3 linked regions of the Xenopus tropicalis genome follow. The protein of the gene in region 1 interacts with the protein of each later gene in a pairwise test. Links are inferred from orthologs where the notes say so. Each region holds a gene or a part of one and is shown in the gene's direction. Other genes may lie near its edges.

Region 1 (5,043 bases):
ACAATGGACTCCAGATTTACTATTTTTGAAGAATCTACATAAATTCACATTTAGCTTGTTCATGGCATTTTAATTTGCTAATATTTATAGAAATTCAAAATTTAGTACAAAATTAAATGATTTTTGCTTCTTAGTAATATGGATATTTACCGTATGCTTACATTATTCTGTTCTAGGGCCCAATACAACAGGTTTAATATTGTATGTCCTCATAGATATATTATCTGCCAAACTATTTATGTAATATATTCATTGATGTAGTCTTGTAAAATGATATACATGGGCAAATAAACGAATCAGCCTGGACTAGAGTGTTAAAACATGAGGAATATACGGTTAGAACATATGAGTAGATTTTAGGGACAACTATATAAGCGTAAAAGCAACAAATACCAGTGGTGCCATTAGTCTAATGCCCAGTATGCATAGTGTATAGGGGGCTGATACAGGTATGGGATTCCTTATCCGGAAACCCGTTATCCAGAGAGCTCCGAATTACAGAAAGGCCATCTCCCAAAAATGATTTCCTTTTTCTCTGTAATAATAAAACAGTACCTTGTACTTGATCCCAGCTAAGATATAATTACCCCTTATTGGGGGCAAATCAATCCTATTGGGATTATTCAATATTAAAATAATTTTTAGCGGACAAAAATTATGGAAAGATCCCTTATCCGGAAAACCCCAGGTCCCAAGCATTCTACATAACAGGTCCCATACCTGTACTATGGCTGCTGCAGAGAGTTGCCTAAGAGTAATCTAACCCCAAACATGGGTAGAATTATTTTTATACACCAACTTGCAAAGTTTTGCTAAAAGTAGTGTATTTATGTAGTTCTGAAAATCTCCTCCAATCAGCATAATATTTCCAAAATATCTTTATGTACAAAATTAAAACAACTTAAAATATCATAAATATAAATTATCTCCCTTTTCTTCTTTTCTGCAGCCCGTGGAAGACTTGAAGGCAGAAGCTTGGAGTTGGAATTATTATTGGGTCCTATAGCTCCCGACCCAATAATATGTCCATCTTTTTACAGTTCCCGCCTTTCACACCCTCCTCCTAGGATCCACTCTAGTGCTCATGACATCCTAAAGCGTGGCCAGAGGGGAACTGTTGGAGATCTCTTGCAGTTAGAAGGAATATCTCTTCATCCCAGCCTGCCTACAAAAAGTTAGTACATTTTTTAACATATCAGTCATGTTGTTTGTTTGTCTGATAATTTTATTGTTAAACTTTTCATCTCTGGTTCACTTTATACACCATAAAATATAAAAATCTGGATATTCCTTCTAATTAGTGATTAGTGAGTTCTAATTAGCTATTGAACTCATACTTATTGCTGGCACAGAGCTATGCACACTTTAGCAACAATTGGCAGTATAATGACTCTACTAAAGAGCTCAATGATGACATACCACATTGAAAATTCTAACTTATGCAGAAATGTCATGCCCATGACCTGACTTCTCACAGAGCACCAGAAGTGTTACAGCAAAAAAGAGGACAAAAGTCATGTTATACTTTTAGTTTCTCAATGACATGTTCAAAAACATGTCCATATAGTTTTAGCTTTTTTTTTTATAATTGAAATTTGTATTGACAAGAAAAAACACACAGGGTGCACGTTCATTCAAAAATTATGAAAGACTGCACATATCACATCCTTGCTAGGTGTCTGGTGTTTGCTGAGTCTGTCTCTTCTTCCATCTTGTATTTTTAGGGGATCATGTTGTGCAGTGAGCACACATGTGGGAGGGGCTGTGTAGTAATCCCCAACATAGAAGAAAAAGGTAATATAGAAAAAAACAACAAAGAATCAAAAGCCATTCCCTAGGTTGGTCAACTTCAGAGTCATTGAGTCATTTTATGACTTTATGACTGTGGCTGATGATCATATTCACGGAGGTAAATAGGAACAGTGGTTTAGGAACCAGAGGTCTTGCACAATTTTTTGAGCCTTCTGATTGATTCAGGGTATTAATACTTGAGTAAATATAGTATAACCTTTTATTATTCAGTATATGTCTGATTTGATATAGCTATGGCAAATCAGTTGTTCCTTTACATTACCTATTACATTACATAAGGTAAGTATAATGATGCATCTATGAATGACTAAGTGGAGGTCATGAAGTTCTTATAATAATCTGTTTCTTTAGAGCTTGTCCAATAAAATAATTTCTGAATATAGTGTTGTGTTTCATGTGATTTTAGTTCTTCAAATTTACTGATTTTCTCAATTTTTTTGCATCCACTTTTCTCTGGGGGACCATTTGGGATCTCCACAGTGGTGGGATGAGAGCTTTAGGTGTATCTAATAATATGAGTACAAGTGACTTTTTATATATTGTAGGTGAAAATGTTGTAGCATCTGTAGGACTACTGGACCATTATTAATATCTTTATCGGTTATTGTCTTATTTATGTCTCTGATTAAGGACCAGTAAGTTGCCAAGGCTAGGCATCCCCAGAAGATGTGAGAAAGAGTCCCCTCCACACCTCCAGCATGTAACGAGGGGAAGAATTCTGTACCACTGTAAAGGAAGTTTATAGTTTTGTTCTTGTAGGAGGCGTAGGAAAGTATTTGCACTATTTCCCCGGTCTCCTCTGGTATCACGCAGCTCAGCTCTCTTTACCATTTACTTTTAAAAAACTGTGTCTGGGTCAGGAGCTAATTTGCTCAAGCATTTGTATATATACAATATTGATTTTGTTGGGGGGTTGCTAGATTCCCAGAGGATCTCTATTTGTGTTGAGGGCTGTTTTGTTATTTCCATTAGTTTTTGTGTTTGTATAAAATGTTTTATACAAATATATGCCCCTTGGTGGGGTTTTATTTTCCGGTCTTTGAAATTATCTAGTGTTAATCCTGGATAAATGGAACAAGTATTTGGAAAAAGTATTGGAATCTAGGGAGAATATTCTTTTTTAATAAGTTTAATACGTTTTTTAATAAGTAGTTAAGTTAAACGTTATTAGTTATATCTGATGTCATTTTTAGTCCTAAATATGTAATGTGTGTGTGTGCTACTGTGAAGATATAATTGCTTGTTATTAAGGTAAATTCTGCTTGGGGATTTGTAATGTTTAAGGCTGTTTATAAAACGTTTTGAATCTCTTAGGCTTGAGATTTTAAATGGGACCTTTAACCCTAATAAATCATTTACATTTCTTTTATATTGTTTTTATCAAGCAAAATAAACTTCACTTACACTATTTAAAGTATTTAAATATTGTTTCTTTCAGTCTTGGAACTCAGCAAGTAAAAAAGTGCCAATTTGTGGACGCTCTTATAAGGAAAAATTTGTATCATCCCAAAATTTTGTTTATTCTCCAGAATCTTACACCTGTTGCCCATGCAATACACAATTATAGATAAGGGAGGAGGGAGGGGGGATTGTGAGGAGTGCAGTGACATCAAGGAAGGTCAGCCTGCCCTGCCTCTATGCCTTAGTACTACTGTGGGGGTAAGATGAAAGGGAGGTCAGACCCTGGCCAGACCAGCTCCAACTCTAAACACTATGGGTATCGTAGCTGGAAATCACTTTTTGCTTTGCTTTTGCTAATCCTGTATTTCATCAGAGGATGTACAGGAGAAGGCCTGAAAAGTTTTAGTTTTAATTAATAACTACATAAAATGTATACCTTGCAGTCAGTTTTTGGAGTTTTCTTTGCTGGGCTTAGTAACCCTGACAACCAACATATAAATATGTTTCCAGTTCAAGGCTGGAAAGAAGCAGAATTGGAAGCTAATAGAAACCAAACAAGCAGAAAATAATAATAATAAATATCTGCTAAGCTTAGATTTTTTTCAATGGGTTTGTTCTTACTCTGCTGCAGGGAAGTGCCAAATGCAGGTGGAATAGATCGGGTTGCATTTCACCTGTATTTGGCACTTCCCTGCGGAAGAGTGAATACAAACAAGGAACTGCATCGCATGAAAAAACACTCATCTGTAAGAGCCTTAATAGAGGGAAGTAATTTCTATGGTTCATGATACCAGCAAACCTATACCTTTGTTCCTGTTAGGCAAATGAATTAGTTTTGTAAGTATAGGTCAGATTGAACACTGGTTGGTGTTGAGGTAAACCAAATTCAACCAGCTCAGTAAGGAACCTTGAGTAATGCTGGCTTCTGTCCAATAAGGGCCTTTTGCAAGTTTGTCAAAATTTACCCAAGTTGGGCAGCCCTTTATTTATTTACAGAGATTTTCACAATTTTTAAAGGATAGCTTACTTGGGTCTTCACAAAATGCATTCATTCACATAGGAGCTGCATCTCAAGCATTGTTCGTGGGTTATATATTTGGACTGTAACCACATAAGAAAAGCTAGAACCTTGATCATGTAAAGGGATTTGGTCAGAGCTCACATGACATTTGCTCTAGCTACAGAAGTCTAATCTGCATCCTAAAGAAAGTACCCAACAAAGTTACATTTTCTATTGCAAAAGTATCGACGTGTAGAAATATATTAATACACAGGTACTTTGAGCTTTAACAGAGGCGATAGAGCATCCAAAACTGACATATAAAGTAAGGGTCTAAAGGATGCATTGGAAAACAAGGAGTCATATGGCCATGGAATAGAGAAGAGTCCTTTGCTAAGGGTATACTCTAGGGTGTAGCATTTAATGTTGTTTTATTACTAAATATTATTACCAGTGTTAAATGAAATGTAGTTAGCTACTACTTCCTTGTATCACTGGGGCAATATGCTCTAATGTGGCAAGGGAGAATGCCAGGCACAAAATATAGGCTACATCCTTATCATATATGCAGCAGTAAGGCAGCGCTGTATTGACTGGGGGAGTGTTGGTCTGTTTGACCAGTGCCCAAGGTGCCCCGCACTTTGTGAGTGAGGACCCATGAATATTAAAGAAGTACAAAAAATGAATTCCACTGTATTCTATTACAGTGCTTGTCTGTTATCTGCTATGTAACATGTGCCTTTTCTCCTTTGCTCACCAAACTCAAATGTGTGCTTATTAAAAAAGCTAAAATCTCTAAAACCTGAATGATTAAAAATAAGAAATCTATT
Region 2 (5,043 bases), on another chromosome or scaffold:
TGCAACCATGTCTTATAGATCATGTGCAAATGATGAGTTGCAGCAAGTACAAGGTAGATACTACTGGATGCAGTACTAGGTATTTCGACATAACTGTATTGCTCCATCCTGAGTTTAGTTGTGCATAACCGTACTTTATAAGTTTTCTGGCAATTAACTTAATAGTGTAAGCCATTCACTAAATGAGCTGTCAAATGAGTTGGGCTGTTGTTGGAGAGGGTTTCTACAGACCATACTATTCCCACTAGTGACCTGTTCAGATTCTTCATTAATAGCTGCTGTCCTAACATACATGGCAATAGCCTATTTGTGAAGAAATTGCAATGTGCAAAGTGCAAGTTTCTGATAAAAGCTGCCATGTTTTTGAATCAGAATGTAGCATTGTTCCAAGAATTTCAGCATAATTTTGGGTGCCAGCTAAGCACCCAAACAACTTGCACACAATGCACAAATGTGAATATTCATTGCTTTTGGTGAAATGTGTGCAATTTGTCACTTCTAGTGGCATCAGTATCACCACTAGCATCCAATTTGCTTTTATGGACACACCCTGCTAGACTAATATTAGTACCAGGGTTCCCTAGTGTCCCTATGCAAAATTCAGGCACATTGGTGATGTTAGTAATATGTATGGGCACAAGTACCTTTGTTAATATCATTAATGCATGCTCAATGTTTGCCTCTATTCTAGCACTTCATATATTGCACTTGCTTTCAAAATGATTCTGTAGACATGCATTCTAGAACAGAATAATAATAAAAAATAACTGAGGACCAGATTGAACATTTCTCTTATTTCTGTCATTATGTAACAAATTCCGGGGAGGAAGGAATGGCACTCTCGGGCATATCCCACATTCTGCCAAGTCCTGCTAAAGAATACATAAATACTTAATGATCATTTGCATCTAGGAGACTTTGTTGTGTGCCTCAGATTAGATCTTAAAATACCCAGAACTGTGAGATCACGGAGAGAGAAACAGCAGTCAGTCTTTTTTATTGGCAGTGGAAAAACAACACTTTGCATCTTGGATAATCACAGTTGGTGGAATATTTGTTTCTTTTAGCAGCTTGCAGGACCAGAAGGAAGAACTGCAGAAGAGACTGTCTTACACTACTCACAAACTGGAAATGCTTGAATCGGAATTTGATTCCACCCGGCAGTTCCTTGAAACTGAGCTGAGGAGGGCACAGGAGGAACTGGAGAAAGTGACAGAAAAGCTGAGAAGGTCAGGCTCTGCTTTATTCTTGTTCTCTAGGATTGTGCCCCTTTTGACTCTAATGCATTAAGTGACAATATTTTGAGAATGTTTTCCTTTTAGAAAATATGTTGCAGGTTGTAGGGCATTTAAATAACAAAAGAGTTTTTTAGTGCAATATGGTTGTATGATAAAATCTCCCAGAGAGTGTGCTAAAGATGTCTGCACGAGGAAGATAGCTAAAGCTAGTTACAGGCCTCAGCAAATTCCTCTTGGCCAGAAAATGTCTATGTAAATGAAATTACATAATTATTTGTGCAATTGTTGCTTGATGTCTTCCTATATAATTTGCCTCAAGGTTGACCTACTTGCAGCCATTGAGCAGTTCATGGACTGCAGCTCACAACACGACACCCTGATGAAGGGGATGCTTTGAGTTGTAATTCCTCCATGATTGATAATTCACAGGATAGAAATCTCTGGTTTTCAGATTTGTATTAAAATTGGGGTGCCTCCCACCTTGTTCTGGATCTTATTTTCATTTGTATGGTCCCAAATAACCACACAAATGAATGGCTTCTCATAACTGTCAGATTGTAAAGTGAAGAAAAGATGTAATGAGTTATATGGCCATCAAACCATGTACATGTTTTAATTAATGACCCATAAAGCCATTAGGTAACCCCTCACTGTCAGTCTGGTTGGTCACACCATGCTAGTTCATAATGAGATTTGTGAAATCTGTTTCTTCCATTGAATCAATGGTGTACTCCTAGTCACCATTTACAGCTGGTAAAGGTCTTATACATACAGGCTACATTCTATTCTACACTAAATAGCTCACTCTTTGCTTAGGGTGGTTGATGAACACCTCTGGGAGCAACATATGCACTGTATCTTATAGGGAACTTGACCAATTGTAGATCCTGAAAATAGTGTCAATGACTCTTGCAGGGTAAAACACTGGTAGCCCCATGTCAGCATGTTTTGATCAAGAGGTGCTGCTTGGTAAATACAGGTGCTTATAGTGCTCTATGGCTTTTCATTCTCCTTCAGCAGTGACTTATTAGATAAACAGAAATGTGCAGACACAATAGACTCAATCTTTAGAATAACAGATGCAAAGCTTTTACTGAATATTTATAAAAAAAAATAATATATACACTTTCTTGTAAAAAGGTGCTTTTCCTATTCAGAGACATTGTAATACAATATATGCCCTCTAAATGGATATTGACTGCTCAGCCTGTTTAACAGCCTCCATCGTCAGCTGATTTCAATACAATGTAGAAATTTGTTTTGCAAGAGGCAATAATATTGTGATATATAATAATAATATTTATTATTATTATTATTATTATTATTATTATTATTATTATTATTATTATTATTATTATTATTATTATTATTATTATTATTATTATTATTATTATTATTATTATTATTATTTAATAATAATAATAATAATAATAATAATAATAATAAAAAGAGGAACACCTTAATGCCAAACATTTTGCTCTAGGCTGCACAGTGGTACAGCAGGAGCATGTGGTGCAGAACCTTAAATAAAAGTGCAATAGGGGATCTCCTTTGCACAGACCCAGTAAAGTGCAGTTTATATGCATGGAAATAGATATCTTGTAAACAGTGTCAGTCACAGCTAGGATGCTTGTATGTAGTACAGTTGATTTAAGCATTACTTTGTGTGATTATTTCTGCAACTGTAGGCACCAGAGGTAACATTTTACAAAACAAGTAAAAATAAGTCTGTATAACTGGTAGATTGAATAATAGAATATTTGCAGAAATTATTTTAATTATTATTTTATAACTGCCTGTTTTTTCATTAGTATAGTTTAATGTTTGGCCGACTAAAGAGAATGTACCCTGGGAGTTGAGAGCACAAGTTAACCCTAGCACCGCTGAGTGCGCTTTTCTAATGCACTTATATCTCTCCTGTCAGCTCACTTATACTTACAGTATAGGCTCATAGGATAGCTGTTATTAGTGGATTCCAACCCTTGCCATCTCTCTATATGAAACAGTTCAGATGCTTTCAGGCACTTATGTAATCATGTGCACCCATACGGCATTTTTATTAAAGCAAATGTAAATGGATAAAACATTAAAGAACTCAATTTACAAACAATAAACAATCAGCATTACATGGAACCTGTTCAAATGGCACTACAAAGTGCTTGAAATATCCCTTTTCTGCCTCACATTTATTTGAATAGCAAATGCCCAATATCACCACTGAAATGTCAGTCAAGCATTTTCCATTCTAATTTGGGGATGGCTGGAGATGATTTGCTGAAAGTGTTTCATGTGTTATACACATATCATGAATGACTACAGAGAGCAGACTGTCTGTTATTCAGTTACAGAAGTGTTCATGTATAAAACAGTGGCAAGGTGCAATCTATGCTCTCTTCATCATACATATTTTCATTACAAAAAATGTCCCTTTCTCTTTAATAGCCGTGGACAGCAAAAACTTCAGTGTCAGTCAGTACAGAATTCCCATTGGCATGTGTTTATCAGGTACACATTAGTAGTAGCTACCAAGTGATTTTTACTAAATCCTGTTCCTATTGATTATTAGGCATTAATCCCTAGCTTTGCCAGCTCATAATGAACAAACAAGGAATGAATGATTGTTAGAATGAGAGCTGAGCTCAAACACTAAAGGATACATGTGTTGGGTGGAGGCCATTACTTGGTTTTAGCTAATCTTATAAGCCTATAGGTTAAGCTTCACTAACTATCTATATCAGTAATTATTGCCCTTTTATAGCCTTTCCCTTGATCCACCATTTAGTGGTGGGCTGTGTGTTCCCTCATTATTCATTTACAGTTTTATAAGTTTTATAAGGGGGAGATTTTTCAATATTTGAGTTTGATTTTTTTCACGATTCAAGTTTTTTCCAATTATGGTTCAAAAATTCGAATGTCTGATATTTATTAAGGGGGAGATTTATTAAAAACATGAACGCTCCGAATTTATTTTCGCTGATTTGTTCGCTCTTGCGTGACTTTTTAGTACACCCGCGCAACTTTTTTGTGCGCTTGCGCAAAAATTCAGAAAGGTTCTGCCGCTGTTTACAATTGTTCGGTACGAAAATTTTGTGACTTTCGGATCACCAATACGATATTATTGTGACTAATACAATTTTTTCGTAAGCATTTTCGTGATATTTGCGATCTTCAGAAATTATCGTATCCAATCCGAATTTTTCCCATTCGGGATTGGCATCTAAAAGATGCGAGTAGAAAGGTACATACAGTTGAAAAGTTTTGAATGTAAAGCACAATGTATGGATTATGTACTCAGATGTACTTCAAACTTGATTTATGTTGGAAATACCGCCAGACATTTGGCACTAAGTATTTAGGAAAATTAAAGGGCTCTGGATGAAAAATGTGGTTAGTTCAGGGGCAAGGCACTTTACACAGACAGGGATCTACATGCGGGGGTTCTGGGGACATGGACATTACCCAGACCTAGGGGAAGTAGTGATTGGAAAAATATACTATAATACTACAAAGTTTATATGGATTTTTAATGTGACGACATATAAAACCCCTTATACTTCAAGTATATCGTTAAAGTTTTTTCTTTGTTAGGTGGATGGAGCCTGATAGAGATGTGGAAATAACAGTCTAAATTAGTCATATACTAAAATATAGCCTAAAAAGAAGTATTATATCTTTGATAAAACTCATTGTTAAGTAGGCAGTGATAATCTATGAATCTAAAACATTAGAGCTTGGCACTAAAACCCAGACCACACTGTGTATGCTGCTGCACAAGAACTTTATTTAACAAATAATAACACATATT
Region 3 (5,479 bases), on another chromosome or scaffold:
CTAAAAAACGCATTATGCTGGATTGATGAATATTAGTAACTTGGCATTTTCTTGTTATCACACCGAATACATGAGGCAAGAATGAACAGTTGTTCATAGATGTGCTTAGTGCTTAGGAATACTGAGAAAATATATCTGTGTGTCTGTCTCTCTATCCATATCTATACCACAGGATCAGGAAATCAGAGACCTAGAAAAGAAAATCAAAAGACTTCAACAGCTACATTCAGGTTTGTTTGGGTTGGGGATGTGCCCAATGGTGGGTAGGAAAATGTAGGGTTTATATGTCCTTTAACTCAATTTTTACATACAGGGAATGCCACAAGTGGAAGGAGAGAACAGGAACTGGAACACCAGTGTAAGGAACTAAATAAAAAAATCTCTGAGATGGAGGTGAGTGTGTATGGTGTGCCATATTTTTTCTAATAGCTATGTAATAAGTGAGACCCAGAAATGTTTTGTTCCTCCCTAGCGTTTCCTTGGTGATTATGGACTGGTCTGGGTTGGGGAAAACAATGCAGATGTCTCACCTGAATCCACTGCCAGAACATGGAGCCCAGGTAATTGTAGATTATAACATTGCCACTGTAAACAATCTCCTTGGAAGCAGCGGTTCATAGCAGGCTATGAGAAGCTTCTATCTGTTATTCGGATATCACTGGAGTATGGAGTAGGGTCAGCCCTGAAAACTTCTGTTTAAACAGTGTAAATTCAGTGTATTAAGGGCTAAACTACATGGGAAGTAGTTTTCTAATGCTACAGTATCATTGATCAGATAAGTAGACAAGCCTGTACTCAGCGTTGCCAGGCAAATAGAACTCCTAATGGTTATTAATGCTAAGGTAATTAGAGCCAGGGACCTTAAATAATGAAGAAGTGAAATGTTTGCATACACCACAATTACTATTTTCTTTAATCCTAGGTTCTAGTATTTGAAATAAATGTCACTAGGCATTAACTTTTCCATATTATTGAAAAACCATGTTATAACACACCGATTGACAATAACTAAAAATATTGCTTCTCTGTATATTTACTAGGGATGCACCAAACCTATATTTCAGTTCCTTGGGTACGAATTTGGCTAAATACCGAACCAAGCCCAGAGCAGAAGCAGAAAATGCAGGGGAAGGCATGCTGCAAATATTTTTCAATACTTAGGGCTCAGATTCAGCTAGGCGGTTGGATTCGGCCATGTCATGCTAAAAATGGCTCCGATTTAGCTGAATCCCAAACTAAATCTGGGATTCGGCCCATCTCTAATATTTTTTACATGCTTTAAGTAGGAGTTCCACCTATTGTCAGGAATCAGTCCCTATAGCTTTAGCACTAGTGGTGTTTTCACTTTACACTTTTATTAAATAAATGGGTAATATGAGACTTTTAAAAATAGTTGTATTTATAGTAATATTTTTTTAATCTCCATAGGACCTTCTTCACCTACTTCTTTCCTACCAGACTTTGATCTAGTCCTGGAAAATTTAAGAGATTTGAATGTACTTGGAGGTGAGGGAGAATCGCATATTGAGTATCAAAAGGGAGGGGCCCGTTTGAGAGCACCCGAGTCTGTCCCATTGACTTTGTATAAAAACGGGATTATTATGTTCCAAGGGCCCTTTCGATCCTACAAGGAAAAATCCACACAGGTGAGGAAAACAGAAACAGTGGTATGTCAGATGGGAAAGAAGTTATTTTCCCTGAAATAATTTGTCCTTCATTGTGTTACAGCTATGTATAAGAGATATCATGGATGGCTATTTTCCCTCTGAACTGCAGGCCCGGTTTCCTAATGGAGTCACATTTCAGGTAAGAGAATTGCTGAAGAATACAGTCTACGCATGTAGGTGAAAAGGACTCTTGAAAAGTATCTTTGCCTTGCAGGTTACAGACAACCGCAATGTAATTTTCCAAGAGCAGCGGCGATGGGATGATTTTCCTGGTTCTGGTCAGACTATTGGGAGCTCAGGAAGTAATTTACAAACTAACAAAAAACCAGGTAAGGGCTCTCTTTAAAAATAAGGCAAGCCCTTAAGGGTTTATAGAACATTTTCATTGTAAATTCTGCCCACCAACAGGACCACAGCTTTCCACTGACCAGTTCTTGAATAGACTGCCTAAATCTGTAATTCGTGGGGGTAGAATTGTGCATGTACGAAGTGCTGTAAGAGAAGCTCTGCAGGTTTGTACATGACCATGGGAACGGAGGGTTTGGTGGAGCATCTTCAGACAGTTAGCTCTTGTTGTTTTTCTAAGGGGTCAGAAGAAAATGAGATGCCAAAAGAAATCTTAGTGGAATCTCCACAGCTATCAAAAGAGCAGAGGTACGGATAGTAAAATGTATTCCATAGGGTTAAAGGGGGGTAGTCATTACATAATATCTTTGCTGTTTTTGTTTTTAATATTTTTTTTATTAAATATAGTGTTTTCCTTTGTCTCATAAATCCAGTTGTCACAGTTATATTTATTCAAAGTCCAGCGTTTTTTATTGATGTCCTTCAGTTAAGCTTTCTTTCTCAAGCCAAGAATAAAACAGCTTTATTATTATTATTATTAATGTATTTTCACAAAAAGGTGTGTTGCTGTACATGGGCCCATAAAAGTTATCCCCATCAGCCCTAAGACTTTGGGTAGCCACATGGGGCTCCATCCTTTCTATAATGGCACAATTGTAAACAATGTAAAGAACACTGTTGGAATGTTGCTTTTGGCGAGTTTTAAAGGAATAGTTTAGTGTAAAAATGAAACTGGGTAAAATAGATAAACTGTGCAAAATAAAATAATAGTTTCAATATAGTTAGTTAGCCAAAGGTGAAATCTATAAAGGCTGGAGTGGGCAGATGTCTAACATAACAGCCAGAACTCTACTTCCTCCTTTACAGCTCTCTAAGCTATTATCAGTCAGTAGCCAATCAGTGATTTTGGGGGGGGGGGGGGGGGGCACATGGGACACAACTATTCAGTTAGTTTGTGAGTGCACAGGTCAGATTCAAAAGCAAACTAACTGAACAGTTATGTCCCATGTGGCCTCCCTAAAGTCACTGACTAACTAAGAGCTGAAAGCAGGAAATAGTGTTCTGGCTATTATGTTAGACATCTGCTCAATCCTGCCATTATAGATTATATTTTTCCATAACTATGTTAATATTATTTTTTATTTTGCGCAGTCTATTTTACCCAGTTTAATTTTTACACTGAACTGTTCCTTTAAGACAGTGTTGCCATCTCTCTCTCTCTCCTGATGTAGGATCACAACTATACAACAAGATTTAAAGAATATAAATATTTGTATTTGTTTTAGCACACAAGACAACATGGTAGTGTCAACTTTAAGGATCAGGTCTGAGTCTGGTGATAAAACATATAAAGTGCGAATGTTGTCTTCAGAAACCCTTGCCGACTTGCGAAATTACTTGTCCTCGTGCCGGTATGTGTTTTTTGTTTTTTTAAAATCCTATAACATATTTAGTCTGTTTATTTCTCATTCCTTATTATATATTTTGTAAGCAGGGCACCTGATCTCTCCTCCTACAACATTATCACCCCTTTCCCTTACTGTGTGTATGAAGATGATACATGTACCTTGGAAGAGGTTGGCCTCGTCCCCAATGCTTTTCTAGTTCTCAGAGCAAGAAGTGAGGAGGAACAAAAAAAGCAATCAGTCTGAGGAAAAAAGAAAGAATTTCATTTATGAATCTAAAGAACAGAAGAAACAAAGGGGCGGTGATCTTTTATCTCTTCCTGATGACTGTTCAACTTGAACTTTACAACATGCACTTTTATATGGTATAATTCTACAACTATACATGACCATAAAGGAACAATAAACTAATACTAACAGTTCTTTATCAGTATGCAGATTAAATTATGTTCTACTGTGAGTAAAACTTGATAGCTGGGAGGCAGATTTTGCCACTGAAAAGTCACCTGTTAGAAAATACATCTGCTAAAGCTATCCCATATAGTTGGGAGGTCATTTTTAACACTATTAACACAAGAAACATTCTTAACACAACAAGAAACATTCCCCTAAGTGTTGTACTCCATACAAATTTGCCATAACATCTTATAATTCCCACTAATTGCAGTAACGATGAATCTAGTCATTTGTTTATGCAAGAAACGTGCAGGAGATAAAAGCAAATCATTGTAGCATCCATTACCTTCTTCCTGGCTTTTAAACAGAAAGTGACGGTGCCTGGGGGGGGTCATATAGACCAATAATCTTGCAATCCTGGGGGATCTAAAACTATACCAGGGTGATTATTGCGGCGTTTTTAAAAATCTGATTGTGGCGATTTATCACCACACACAAGTACAATAGCAGTTTGTCCCACACTACATATTTATGTTGCAGCAACTTTATGTTGCAGTACCTTTCCATATGGAACTTGGTGCCGCTGCGATTAGTCGGCAATCAGATTTTTAAAAATCACGGCAACTAATTGTCCCCTCTGTCTTCGCCCTAAAGTAAGTGACTCCTTCACTTCCTGCTTTTCTGGAGCAAAATAAAGATGCCTGTAGAATTGTATGGCCACTCGTGTGATATTCTTTTATTCTGCCCAATCGGGCTAACAAACCTTTAATTAGTTTAAATGGAAACTGCTTGTCTGCTTCTATAAAACAAATGACATGACGGACTCCTCTTCAAGATTTGGGCACTTCCCTTCCAGCTGAAAAATGCTATTTTTCATATTCCCAGCCTCTATATACAACCACCTACAAACATCTGTTTATTATTCGTGGAATACTTGAGCAAAACTCATAGCAATTTCAGTCATTTAGTTAGGAACAGATAAGTGTTTTATTTTTAAATGAAAACAATGTGAACAACAGGTTTACTGATCTACTGGAAGACATTCTCACTTCCTCTTTGGCAGGAAAAGCATGGAATGAGTTTAGAAGTCATAAAAAGGAAAGTTTTTTTTTTTTAGATCCCTTATCTGCCAGCAGGGGGGGGGGTGGTTCTGAAAAAAACACAGAAAAAGAGTTCAGGGCCTCTTCCAGTATCCCAGGAATGAATGAGGTGCAAGAAAGTGAAATTTTGGAATGTATAGGAAAAGATGGAATGAATAATCCCTGTTTCTAGTTTACTCCTTTGTGGGTGAAAATAAGCAGGGTGTGGGCTCAAATGCATTGATGTAACAAAAAAGGTTCAGCATCACAGAATCTAAGCTTTAAGCTTAAGAAACTGGCTCAATATCTCATCTTCAACAGCAGCTGCAAACTGCTCATAGTCCTAAAATAAAGAAAAAGTTAGAGTGAGCACAGGAAAGGATTTAGAGTAAATCATATTCAAGACATTTAATATTATGTATGCAAACCCATAATTAAATGCACCATCATGCATTTTATTCTACATTTAGTTTACAATACATAACACAGTACACCATGCCCTAAAATTCTTACTGATGTTGTGGCATTTAGTTTTTTGTCCAGCCTATTTTTTTTCATAAAAAATTATATATTTTTACTTGAAGTA

The links. The genes of interacting proteins can lie anywhere in the genome.
Region 2: the proteins of enkd1 (region 1) and begain interact in binary tests that used the Homo sapiens proteins (3 or more experiments, as listed by UniProt). The two-hybrid records come from large-scale screens. The link is inferred for Xenopus tropicalis from reciprocal best matches to the Homo sapiens genes ENKD1 and BEGAIN.
Region 3: the proteins of enkd1 (region 1) and ubxn11 interact in binary tests that used the Homo sapiens proteins (3 or more experiments, as listed by UniProt). The two-hybrid records come from large-scale screens. The link is inferred for Xenopus tropicalis from reciprocal best matches to the Homo sapiens genes ENKD1 and UBXN11.

Annotation. Positions count from the first base shown.
Region 1 is NC_030680.2:41,247,824-41,252,866, forward strand, and holds part of enkd1 (enkurin domain-containing protein 1), read left to right. Parts: intron 1-949; coding exon 950-1,174; intron 1,175-5,043. UniProt on the Homo sapiens protein: Microtubule-binding protein which regulates microtubule organization and stability. Promotes the stability of astral microtubules and facilitates the proper orientation of the mitotic spindle.
Region 2 is NC_030684.2:96,751,306-96,756,348, reverse strand, and holds part of begain (brain-enriched guanylate kinase-associated protein), read left to right. Parts: intron 1-1,067; coding exon 1,068-1,229; intron 1,230-5,043. UniProt on the Homo sapiens protein: May sustain the structure of the postsynaptic density (PSD).
Region 3 is NC_030678.2:77,352,219-77,357,697, reverse strand, and holds the end of ubxn11 (UBX domain-containing protein 11), read left to right. Parts: intron 1-172; coding exon 173-230; intron 231-313; coding exon 314-393; intron 394-472; coding exon 473-560; intron 561-1,428; coding exon 1,429-1,646; intron 1,647-1,728; coding exon 1,729-1,806; intron 1,807-1,881; coding exon 1,882-1,996; intron 1,997-2,075; coding exon 2,076-2,179; intron 2,180-2,253; coding exon 2,254-2,321; intron 2,322-3,298; coding exon 3,299-3,424; intron 3,425-3,507; coding exon 3,508-3,664; 3' UTR 3,665-3,845; downstream 3,846-5,479. Other genes in the region: sh3bgrl3 (SH3 domain-binding glutamic acid-rich-like protein 3), read right to left, coding at 5,168-5,236. UniProt on the Homo sapiens protein: May be involved in the reorganization of actin cytoskeleton mediated by RND1, RND2 and RND3. Promotes RHOA activation mediated by GNA12 and GNA13.